2 linked regions of the Styela clava genome follow. The protein of the gene in region 2 binds, or shares a complex with, the protein of the main gene of each other region. Links are inferred from orthologs where the notes say so. Each region holds a gene or a part of one and is shown on either strand. Other genes may lie near its edges.

Region 1 (5,970 bases), on a different chromosome or scaffold from region 2:
ATGGTTGTCCCTTCAACTCTAAACTGGTACAATTAGTATGTCTAGTGTGAAAACTAAACTATATCGGCATATTTTTAGTTTTAGAATATTGCAATTGGGCTCACGATCGTGGGAGTCTACATAATCAACTTTGCCTTTACAGCGAACAATGCCTAATTTCCCGAACAAGCAAGTAAAGTTGGAACTTGTGCATGCTAGAATGAGACAGACATTATCATTTACCAGTTTTAACTGTATTTGGTGGAGCGCCGACACACAAAATGCAATACCAATTGGGTTTCTTTGTGACTAACTAATAATCCTTCTATGCTGGTGGATCTGCATGCATATAAATGTGAGGGTACTGTAGCAGGAGTAAAGATAACTATCCTGTATGATTCAAGAGTCTTGCTGCACACTAACATGAATACAGCAAATATCTTGACTCGCACAACATGTACGCTTGCATACCTACTGAAACACAGGTTATTGCTATTTAGGTTGTTAAATTATCTCTCATTCCGGAGAAATCCTGCACTCTGGCCCCAGAAGCCATGGTCCTGTCCTGAGAAGGTTATTTAAGTCTAATTCCCACTCTGTGAAAAAGCCTAAGATTGCCATCACCAGCCCGATGTCATTAAACTCATGAAGGTACGACTTCATTTATTGAAATTTGGCCATAGCAGTTACAAAGCATCACTGCAAATCAATCATAGCTTACAGTAAAATAAAAGTAAGAAATAAGTTCAAATAACATATACATTCCTAGACGAAGTCTAATATTTTTTTCAAGTCTTCCAAAGTTAAGACAACTAGTCGCATAGATTCCTAGGAGAACTATTTTGCTAGACAATCAGACATCCGGAACAAAACATTCAAGTTTTGTTTCCACCAGTTGTGAGAGTTTGTCTATTTATTTTCCTGTTAGATTTCGCTGTTCAGATAGCCAGTTTTATGACGCAAACGAAGAAAATGGGCATTTTCAAAAACTAAACATGAACAACAATACGCCCTTCAAAAATTGAGCCAAATTGAATTGGAATCATTGCCAAGTTGTCAAAAGTCCATTTTTGGAAGGTAAACAGGAAATATGAAGAATATAACCAGAACATACTGTATAAACGACAGTTTTAATCTACATAAGACTTGAGAAAATTCCAAAATGCACATTGCTTGAAATATCAGACGTGAAACTCGTCATTGATGCGTTTAGGATTAAAAAAAACAGTAGAAAAGATCACTACGAAATGTATGTACACGATAAAAATATAATAGGGGGAAGGTCAATCTGACCTTTGACCCTGTATGAACTGAGAATGTTGCACAGTTGGAATTATGCAGTGTTAGTGATCTGTTCTTGCCTCTTGGCCCAAATTAAACCTTTTCACCAAAGCGAAGATTCAACTTTGATAGACAGCGGTTCTCAACTTATTTTATTTTGTTACCCAAATTCTGTGGCCCGCTCAGTAGGAAAAACAGCACCATTCATTCATTGCCACTACAATTAGAATTAAACTATAGTGACACAAATGAAATTAGCATCAAAATGTTAACGTGACCGCGCAGTGGGCCATGGCCCACTGGTTGAGACCCACTGCTGTAAGGACTATTTGACGGCCTTAGCTTTTATTGAAGTATTGTGAAATAGTAAGTCTGATTAGGCTTCATTACATATGTTTGTTGAATAATTGTCTCTTGTAAAAATTAAAAAGTCTCTCGAAGAAATCATCTCAACTTGTTTCTGTACGTTTTACATTAATAGGAATTCAATTTCATATGATAATTACCAAATATGCATATTTTAAAAAACGATACAAAAAATAATTTGCCAACAAAGTATGTACTTTAATTATAGTTTTGGTGCAAAAAAGTGAGCCGAAACACTACTTTTTACCCTTCTAGTCGACACTATTTTGATTTTTTAATGCAGATTAAGCGTGACAAATCAATACTTTTTTTGTACTTTTCAACTAAGGCCAGTTCAAATATAGTCCCCAGATTTAGTTCTTATAGCGTAGTAACACGTCTTCGCCTCACAGCCCAAAGTAATCCTGAAAAATCCACCGTTTTTTTATCATTTTACATTCAATTTTGGAGGTGAATTTAGGACACTTCCATTTCAGTCTCCTCTTCTTTATCAGCACCGTTTGTGAGACCGTTTTTATCTTTCCCGGGGATTTTTCCAGATTGAAGCATTCTTTTTAGATTTTCTATCTCTTCAAGAGATTTTGCTTTCATGATTGCCTCCTTGATAGCTTGCTTATCCTGAGCGGACGGCCCTGAAATGGAGGCAGTCGGCTGTGTTGGTTTTCCTGGAGTGAAAGTCCTATTCTTTGATTTTTGTTTGATGTCATTGAGCAGTGTTTCCCCTTTTTTCGAACCGAATAGTTTTTTGGCTTCTTCTCGTTCACGTTGTTTAACTTTACGAAAATCTAAAACTCGTACTTGTGGTAATTTGTGAATAACATAAAGTCTATATTCTTTGTGATGAGTAACAGGATTGCGCAATAGGCTCAAAAATTCCAAGTGTTTAAATCCTTCCAAATAATCAAGATCGGTCAATTCCGCAATTTCGTTGTTCGTGAAGTAAAGCTCCTTCAAGTTAGGGATACTCAGATGAATATCTTCTTCGATTCTACAAATACGGTTATTGTTAAACATCAAAGATCTTATCCGTTTGAGCAACGGAAAACCTTCAAACTTTCGTAAATCATTATCAGAAAAGTCTATTGTGTCAAACTGGTCCAAAGTCGCACCTAAATTTTCAATGACAGGAATTTTGTAGCCTCGTAAGATCAGTTCACGATCTCGTACAGCGTTTACATACTGGACTGCTTGCTCGATGATCTCTGGGGTTAATTTCACCATGATCAAGTTTCAACAGCTTTTTTAGAAAGAATAAAAACTTTATTCCAGTGTTATCATACCGATTATAGAGTCAGAGAATATCTGAAGATATAATAAAATGTTAGTAGATTGACAACAATACTTCCGTAGTGTGTGTACCAGGTTAGGCCATAATTTTATTCTGATTTTCCATATTTTAGTTCTATTACAAGTCTGGGTACCGTCTTTGTAAGCTGAGTGAATATACCCCCTGCCCATGGGCTTCAGTTCCCTTACACAACTTGACGTAAAGTATGCGAACAAAATTAGTTACCTTCATTTTGGCAAACATACTTCTGGAGCGCCACAAGAAGGACAGAGTATCAAACTCAACAAGTCAAGTCAAAATTGATATTGATTTCAAGACAAACAAGTAACTAATTAATCCCATACTCGACATGGAATGGTAATTGGACGATAGGCCGTGTGATTATGTAAATCCTATCCTATTAATAAGACAAATTACAGTAATAATGATAAAAAATTGCCTAGGTCATGCAAACTTCAAACATGTAATATAATATGTTTAATGATAAAACTGCTTTAAGCATACCCTATTGAACTTGGATTCCATTTCAGAAATATCATAAATAAAATTTAGGAGTTAAGCAAAATTAGTGATTCCCACAAAACTTCTTAGAAACTGAGGAATGAAATGAACATGGAGATCACTTATATCACATTTGAGATTTCTCTCGATAAAGCCACATCAGAAAATTGGACTCAATCCCATTTTGACCTCCTAAACTACATACCTCTGTAAATTGATATAAGCCAGGGGTCGGCAACCTACGGCCCCGATCCAGCCCACGACACTTCACTGAATTATAGTATCAAAACAGCTGTTTTGACGATTATATTCTTTACGTAACCGAATTTATTGTGAGACACGTGTAGACTAAATTATATTATAATCTTAAATTTTAAGTATAAAATTTACAATGACTAGTTTAATGATGCTAAGTGCAAAGGGTTCAATAGCGCCAAAAATATTCAAATGGAACTTTTTGAGATGCAATGCAATGAGGAAATAAATCTACATTATATTCGAGAGATGTATCACTGCTTGATTTTCATTATAAAAACTATCATCCGTTCGGTTTTCAACTTTCTAGAGATACCGTATGTGCGGTCCGCCAATGATGTGCAACCCTTAATCTTGGCCCAGGAGCGATAAAAGGTTGCCCACCCCTGATACAGTGATATAAGCCATATTACAGACTGACAGGCCTGTCTGGCTGGGGTATGAATAATACCAGAATACTACAGGGATGCCAACTCACAATAAATACAGAAAAAAAACTATAAAAAATACATAGTCTACATGTAGAGATATCGGTACCGTATAACAACTGCCCTAAAATTACCGTATGTTAAAACTCTTCGATTTAAGTGACAAATAAAACAAATCTGACTTTGAATTACCGGTACGGAAACGACCCTTAAATTATCGGAACGGGGTGGAATATCTTCCTAAACTTCAAACAAAACTATCTTCAACACAATAAAGCTATCCCATTATCTATGTAAGAGTTTAGTTGGGACCAGGGACTGGAATGGCAGAATGGTGACAAGGCAATTCACCCAAGTTAGAAACTACTCGTGAAATTCGTTTTATATTTTACCGGTTTGAATTTAACACGACGCAGGGAGACTAATGATTAAAATTACCCTTTTAATTATAATATGTTGAAAAAAATTAAAACATTGGAAAAACACGAAAATTAAAATTATATAGTTATTTGAAAGAAAATATAAAAGATATTTTCCCATATGATAAATAATAAATGTTAGAACAAGAGAGTAAAATATCACGCGCGGCCTTTACTGTTGCCATATTGCTATAGTTCTCATATTGTATTCCATAAAATTAAACAACTAATCGTATTTTTTAGCATTGTAAAATTTGGAACACACAAAATCTTCCAATTTAAAACTTTAAAGACCTCCACCCTAGAAAAGTTATATCAATTCAACTTAAAATTGAACATCCAATGAGGTGGCACAAATATCTACAAAAATCTGGCAACAGTATTTCATTTTTATCTTTAAGTTCACTTCGCTTATCAGAATAATGTCGGAAGATTTGAAGAAATTTCTCTATCGGCAACTTAGCAACGTTGACGGTCTGTACGCAATAGTTGTTTCAGATAGAGATGGAGTACCTGTTCTGAAAATTGCAAACGAAAAGGCACCTGATTACACCCTGCGGCCTGCATTTTTGGGGACTTTTACCTTGGCAACTGATCAAGCCAGTAAACTTGGCTACGGAAGAAATAAATACATTATATGCTCTTATAGTAACTACAATATTATAAAGTTCACTAGACAGCCTTTGACCGTCAGTTTTGTAACCAACAGTGAATGCAACATAGGACTAATTCTGGATCTTGGAGAGGAGTTACAAGAATATCTTGGTGGTGTGAAGCAGGCAGTTGCAGACTTATCAAAAACATTTTATAACGCAAACTGATTATTTTGAAATGCTTTGTTGAATTGTGATGATTTTTCCGATGTGTAAGCCAACGCATATTTGATTTTGTAATTTAATCAAGAAATTTATATATGTTATTTGTCATTTATTACTTTTATTGCTAGTATTCTCATGTTAAATTGATCATTTTCCGCATATCTCATAGGTTCAAATATGTCAGAGTCTGATGAGGGCGTATCGACCTCATTATTAGGTAATAGAGCTACATCGCCACCTGTTGCCCAGCGATCTTCAAAATCTTTCGTCTCTCAAGTGAAGAACACGCTTTTCTCGTTCATTAAGAAAGCAAAGGGAGAAGCAGATACTGTATCACAAAAGCAGAGAGGATTGGAATCCTTCACTGAGAGAGTTGCCACATTTACTGTATCAAAATGGATGGCAAAACCTCTTGCATTGAGTCCTCCCCTATTTGCTCAATATGGTTGGCAATGTATCGGTGTAGACACTGTTAAATGTTGTTCATGTGCCGCTGTTATGTGTGTCCGTCTTCCATGGCCTGATGCTGATAATTATCGTCAGCAGTGCTTTGATTACCGACAGAGAGTTATAACATCTCACATGAAAATATGTTCATGGCCGAGTTACCCATGTTCCAATTCATTTGTTTCTCC
Region 2 (7,409 bases):
TGACATGGTATTGGTACCACAGTGAGTCATTCAGACATTGTTGTCGCTATCAACATTATTCGAAGCAGTCATGCAAGAAATGCCAAAAGTTTCACACTGTCTTTTTCATCAGATAAAATAATCTTAGCATAGGTATATTTATTTTATTAACCTAATCCTCCCGGTTTGACGCATGCGCGAAATTTCAGACGTTTTGCAATGCTGTGTGTATACCATGAGGTCTGGAATGTTTGTTATGGTCTTGCTTGAAAGGAAATCTTATTCCCCACACAACGATATGAGAATGAACCTTATATGACATTTAGAAGTGATAAAATTTCGCTTACATATCACGCGTGTACTTCCCGCTGCGATATAAAAACGTCGCACAACAAGAAAATGATTCCATAAACCTTGGCGTTGCGCGCAAACCAATAACAAAAGCTAGTATGATAAGGTCTTATTTTGAAGGTCATTTTATATGCTACATAACATAGGAGAGTGGACATCTCACAACGTCAGGAAGTTATAAAAATATCGAGTCGTTTGATCGCAGCTGCCTCACCGAAAAAAAGTTAGGCGTTTTATCTCGCAAATTCTCCTTGTCTGACGATTATAAGCTTTTATGATTCATAATAAATGTTTTATTATGACTCACAAAAGCTTTCAACGCGATAAAGCACAAACAAACAACCGATCGATCTATCAAGCTTAGCCTGGCCTGATTCGATGTGGTGACTTCTCAAACGGAAAATTTCCAAAACGCTTGAACAACACGCGCTATGGAAAAGCGTTTAGAATCATATGAAAGAGAAAACCAATGTGCAGTCAACTGTATAGTCACATTTCAGCTTTACAATAGCGATAGACGTCCAACAGCTGATAGAATGAGAGAGTGTAAATATTTTTATTATTTTTTGACGTTACGAAAGACCTCTTGAAAGATGTGTTTTAGTTTACGGTCCTCCAGTGACATCTAGCGTATAGTACTCTAAAATACCTTTCCAATGGTATATAATTATTGTATATTGGGTAAATTTTGGGGGTCGTATGACATTAATAAAAATGTATTCAAAATTGTGCTCGATTGAGCGTCTGAAACAGGTCAATCAAATGATTTCTTCAAACAAATTTAATGTTATTAAATGATACACAGTTTGGGACCACAGCATTGAGCATTGTTTACACATAATGGCTATTATTCTTGTATGGAAGTACTCACTATCTCTATTCCAATTACCTGTTAATTTTCTATTATACAGCGTCACTCTGTTCATATATTCCACAGCGTCAATCCTCGAATCTATCGCTGTTACGTCAATAACGTCAGATGAATATTTTGTTAGAATTCCATTAAGTAACGTCTGTTCGTCCTGTTGGCTTCGTGATACGCTTCCAATAGGTGTATGCTCCTGTTAAATTTAGCCAAGTGGTTAGAGCAGGGTTAGGGAAAGGTTTTTGCCCATCTAGACTAGGCCAAAGGGGCCGTGAAAGTCATATTTTATGAACAATATTAATAGTGTTACAAAAACAAAAGTGAAAAACAATAAGCCTTGTGCCAAAACCTAATTTAATCACAATCTCAACAAATTCCTTGAGTTATTTTTAGTTGAACCTCAAAATTTGATTTTGATTTGGCTGTGAATGCATCAGGCGGGCTTGATTGAATTATCCAAAGGGCCGGATTTGGCCCATGAACCGTAGTTCGCCCACGTCAGGGTTAGTTTAACTTAATTTTAACCTAGCTAGAAATATTGGGTTCAAATCCAAGCCCAATATGTCACCCAGGGTTGAATGAATTGGGAAAAAAATGCTGATCTGGAAAGATCTCTAACCGACATGAAAAGAAGGAAGTCAGAGCTAGAGTTACAGTTTTAAATTTTTCAGAGTCATAGTATGACCGCTTTCCGAAAATGGACCTTTCAAGTCTTCAAACCGAATCCATTATCACGTTTTAGAGCATTAGCCCTATTAACACCGAACTACAAACTTTATAACTCTGTGAAACCCAGGTTCGAAATATTTGAGTGAACTGTGCAGTGTACTTTATACAGTACAGCACACTATCCAAATTCCAAGAATTTCCCTCCATTTGGCTCAATAAAACAAACACTCTATGTGTCTCACAAAAGAGGGACGTCTGGGACCACGTCTGATGCTTCATATCACGCCATGCTTGTCTAAATAATAATCTAGATCAGGGCTACTCAACTGGCGGACCACGGTCCGAATTCTGACCTTTCGAGTATTCGATTCGGACCGCGTCTGATTTTATTTTTATTTTGGATGATTGTCTCCATTTAACTTTGGATCTGTAAAAGGATGTGGAATATTTTGCGGTTACTCAGTTTTCCACAACTCGCGTTTCCTTAACTTTTTAACCGAAAAGATAGAGTCACTGAATTATAGTTAGGCGCAGTATGAAATACATTTTCTGGCCATACCGGACCCCAAGAATTTTCAAGTTTTGTATACGGACCTTTAGCAAAAATAGTTGAGTAGCCCTGATCTAGATTAATCCCGGCCGTCACATGACCAAAATTGCTGTTTTTTGCTAAAGACTTTTGAATGCTACGGTGAAATTTTTTTTCCTTCGGTAAATTTGATTATTTTTTCCTAATGAATTCAATGATGACGTTACTAGATTGCGCTTTTTTGTAATATTTTGCGCAACTTCATTATACTGTATTATTATCGATAATGAAGGACAACAATGTCCATATTATTATCGATAATGAAGGACAACAATGTCCAGACGTCTCCCAAAGGAGGAGTGTCTGATCATCTGTAAAATTGGTTTCTCTGAAACGGGACAATGTCACCCGATTTGTATAATGTGCCGTACTGTTATAGGGAGACTGGACCCCAGTAAATTCCGTACTAATCTTTGTGGTATAAGCACTCGGAGGGGTGAAGTTTGTGTAGATTGTATAATATGAAAATAACAAAAAGTCACTACCTCTGCGATGACTTGTGTATTGATTGGGGCTGTGTTCGCAATTGTACTATTCCCGTTTCCTAGCAACGATGTTCGCTCATCCGCTTCCTCCTCATTTTTCTTTAAACAACTCTCGAGGCAACCCATAATAGATCAGTAGATAGGATGCATTAATATTATTTATACTATGTGGATAACAGTGGAATACTGGAATAAAAAAATAGGGTTGCCACTTTGGTATGCAATCTCGATCCCACTTTCTTAACACTTTTATTAGTACTTGTGGTACTAAACCAGGGGTGGGCAACATACGGCCTGCAGGCCGCGACGAGATTTTGACTGGCCCGCCGACTGTATCCAACCACACTCTGTAATGTGGTTCGACGCATCACTCCTGAAAGTTGCCGATCGCTCTACTCTCACCGCACTGTCAGTGCGAGCGGGTGAAATAAACAATTGTCTTTCTTAAAAGTCGATAAGACAGCTTAACCATATGGCGAACCAGAGCCAGAGTTTTGGTTATCAAAATTTGGTTTTCTTAGATTTCGTAGTTAGAGTCGGAGTCAAATTTTTGACAGAAATTTAGAAAAATGTTTACTACACATTCTTCAAAGGCTATTGAGGGAAGCTTGCATACGCTAAAATTTTTGTGATAAAAATTAAATTTTCTTTGAGTTCATAGTTGGAGTCCTAATAAGAAGTAGGTACCCACTGTGAGTGCTAAAAACGCCAAACAAAAGTGATGTGAAAATATTTGCCTAAATAGGCTATTCACCAGAGTTTTTTTAGTAAAAGTCAGTCAGTCACGCACGGAGAACTACCGGTATACCCTATTAGGGCGTGGGACATTGAGGCACCAGGCTGCCAGGCAAGAATTTCATTCTGCATCAGACAGTCTTTCACCTTATGATTTTGTTTAGTGTTCAAGGAGTTACGATTAACTTGGATAGACAGAAAGACCTAAATATATCTCGACCCTGAGAGTTATATATATCCCCTCCACAGCCAGACAGAATTGATTTGAATAGATGACCAGGTACCACGGTACCGTAATTTTCCAACTACATATCAAAAGAATTCAGATAATTCGAATTCAGATAAAGCTATTAAGAATTGCTGAATTGCGTAACGTCCTGACGTCTGAACGTCGGTTTTGGCCTGCCCTTCTATTTTTAATGTAAAAAAGCATGAAATTGGAATTTGTTTTTTTCTGCTATTTGCTTGCTTTCCTGGCACCTATAAATCGGTACCGGTACCGCCTTATGCCGATTTTGTGAAATAAAATTCACGACTGCTGCCGATAGTGCGTTACGGTACAAACTACCGCTGCGCCTCCAAGGTACGGTTTTAAGTCATGACGGCACGTGACTACTGTAGTCTGAAAGAGCATTCTGCCTTTATAGGCCGCGAGCCGAGGCCATTTATCTTTCAGTTTCGTAGCGCACATCAGGTAACTACCTGAAAATGATTTTAAAATGTTCCTTAGAAATTTAGTAACAAATATTGCCTTGTTCCCACTTCCAAAAGTTGCACGTTTTACAGAAAAGACGCTTTTACTACACTAAATATGTGTTACCATCTGTCCTATTTTCTCTGCTTTTCCGGTATCATGGGCCAATGAACGCAGACTTCTGCACGACGTAACAGTCAAGTTAGTCAGCTGTAGGTGGATCCCCAGTGGTCGGATGAATATCAGATGTACTCAACTGCTCGCTTTTGCGTTGAGTAGTCTTTCCATAGTTTTTTTCAGTTACCGGTAATATTAGTCCAGTTATTCTAAGGAGGTGTTGAAAAGTATAGGTAAGATATTAAACACTTGTATATCCTTGCCATAAATAGCAATTTTAGTTGAGCACTAGCTCATAAGACGTTGTTAAATAGGTACGGTGCGGTAACTCCAAGGAAGGCTAGACCTAGAATAATATGTCACAAACAACGATATTTTCTGGCTTGCATGAAATGTTTATGATTAATTTAATGACTCTTCTTGACTATTCAGCAGACTTATACTACTATATAGGCCACAGCATATTTGGAAATAGAAATGAATGGCTGTTTCTGTAATGCACGGTTGTGTGAAAGAGAAGAAATCAATCAATTTTACTAATGTCGGTTGGTCTAAATCTAAATTCATAGAGTCGACAAGAACCTGGGAAGCAATGATAAGTTATGCCGGAGTGGAAAGAAAGGTAGCATTGGAAATGATTGAGAGGTGAGAAATGAAGTTGTAGACAAACAGTTGATGTTTCAAAATATAGTCTATAGTCCATACTCATACTGTCATAGGACATTTCAGACTGTGATATATCAAAATTTAGTGTAGATATAGTCTAGTAATGGTATGCAAACACTGCTGGACTGTAGAACATGCAATGAGCATATATACGCTCATTTAGTACATCAGATAAAATGCATTATGTATTCAAGGTATTAGTTAGTATTTAGGGGTATTTTTAAAATCATGCTGCTCCAAATATTATTTTCTTCCTTATTTTAGATACTGTACTACAAAAGAAAACGGCAATGTTCCACCAATCCGACCTAACGCAGGCTCTGATCCCTGTTGCTATCAGTGCTATAAAATGGATTAAACAAGAAGTCTTGAAGCTTAAAGGTATATGAGAATCATATTAGTTGCAAACGGCTTAGATGGGCTATTTATATTGAAATACTTAAGCACTTTTCTGCAATTGGAACTGCCCATCAAATTCAAGTTGGAGACTTCATTGAGATTTTCAATTCATTTTTTTCCCTCGACTATGAAGATCTTTTGAGGTTAACGAGGTATTAATAAATAAAGCTGAGGAATTTAAAGAGGATATGAAGAATGTAAATGATACCAGGGCACGTCTATTTAACACTGTCAAACATAAGGATTATACTCTCCACCCAACAATGATTCACTGAAGAAGCATGTGGCCCTCAAATCAGTTCTTGAGTTGGCAAACTGCAAAGAAAAATAGTCAAAATAATTTATGAAAGTGTGCCAAAATCAACTTAAATTGCACAGATTTTTGTTTTTGTATTGACTGCAGAAATCACAGTACACCTATAGAGGAAACGTCGATTTCTGAGATTGTGGATTTCGAAAACAATTCAGAAGAAAGTGAATTAGATATTACAGTTGATTTAATAAGTATCATACATTTGTTGTTTTTTTCGGACATTTGTTAGTGTCGTAGTCCTGTTTCTAGAAATATTATTGCCTTTGTTCAAATACATAACCACATAAACTAAAAAAAGATTAATTGTAAATTGTAATATTTCTGTTCACTATGTTATGTACATATTGTACATTCATTTAATTTTCTTGACTTTTGCGGTAAATTTCTAAGTGAGAAATAACTGATTTATTTGTGTTTTCGTGCTCACGATGTTAATTTGTGACTTCATTGCTTAAAAATAAATACGTTTGATACTTGATAGCTTCTATAAAATGGATGTAGCTTTTTATGCTGTTCTTGTTGTAAACTGCTTGTGGTTATTACATAAAATTTATTCTCAAATGTGAATCAGCGTTGTTGGTGTCGCTGCTTTCGAGGTCACTCCCGACTCCTGTCACACAATTAAAGTATTTTTTGTTGTTGGTTACATGTATGCCATATTTTTCGTAATCTACCTAATAAATTATGATTGACTGAGGAAGTCCGATTTTGGTCAGGCAAAACATTACAGGAATACATTTGTGTTAGTGTGCTGTAGGGCTCTCGAATTGTATAGTTCTTATGTATGCGTTGTAAACTTATGGTTATTGAATTTCCGGGAACCTCTTATATTCAATTTCGCACCAGGATTGTGGAACAAGCTGTAATGCGTTCATTATGTTCGTTTTCACACAAAACTGAAGAATTTATTTAGTTACCAGATGTGCGCTACGAAACTCATTTTCTGGGCGTTTTCATGGTTTCGTCTCACGGCCCATATCCGTGGTAAGGATCTACAAGTGTTTAATAATTTACTTATACATTTTTCAACAACGTCTTAGCATAACTTAACTGATAATAACTAAACAGGGCTATGGAAAGCCTGCCCAACTCAGCGCAAGGTCGAGCAGAAATAACTAATATTCATCCGCTCGCTAACAGCTGGTTTAATTCAATTGTTACGTCATGCAGAAGTCATTGTTCAGTGCCGAAAATGTAGAGAATATAGGACAGATCGTGACACATATTTCTTGTAGTAAAAGCATCTTTTCCGTAAAACGTGCAACTTTTGGAAGTGGGAACAAGGCAATATTTGTTACTAAATTTTTAAGGAACATTTTAAAATCATTTTCAGGTAGTTACCTGATGTGCGCTACGAAACTCACTTTCTAGGCGGTTTTCAGGGCCTCGGCTCGCGGCCTATTAGTTTTGCTGTCGTTTGGCGTGCGTTACATTATGATTAGTATAAGCGTAAGTATAAGTATATTTTGAAACCATAATAGGCATAAAAGGCGATAAAAGAATTGATAAAAACAAGCAAAAACTTATTACTGTATTAGGAGCCTGCC

What was found.
Region 1: ragulator complex protein LAMTOR1-like (region 2) and ragulator complex protein LAMTOR3-A-like share a complex: the UniProt entries of both Homo sapiens proteins name them as parts of the ragulator complex. The link is inferred for Styela clava from reciprocal best matches to the Homo sapiens genes LAMTOR1 and LAMTOR3.

The regions. Positions count from the first base shown.
Region 1 is NC_135254.1:5,250,881-5,256,850, reverse strand, and holds ragulator complex protein LAMTOR3-A-like, read left to right. Parts: upstream 1-4,939; coding exon 4,940-5,338; downstream 5,339-5,970. Other genes in the region: U2 small nuclear ribonucleoprotein A'-like, read right to left, coding at 2,083-2,847; uncharacterized protein LOC120344131, read left to right, coding at 5,513-5,970. UniProt on the Homo sapiens protein: As part of the Ragulator complex it is involved in amino acid sensing and activation of mTORC1, a signaling complex promoting cell growth in response to growth factors, energy levels, and amino acids.
Region 2 is NC_135255.1:23,608,635-23,616,043, reverse strand, and holds the start of ragulator complex protein LAMTOR1-like, read right to left. Parts: upstream 3,144-7,409; 5' UTR 3,065-3,143; coding exon 2,939-3,064; intron 1,392-2,938; coding exon 1,220-1,391; intron 1-1,219. UniProt on the Homo sapiens protein: Key component of the Ragulator complex, a multiprotein complex involved in amino acid sensing and activation of mTORC1, a signaling complex promoting cell growth in response to growth factors, energy levels, and amino acids.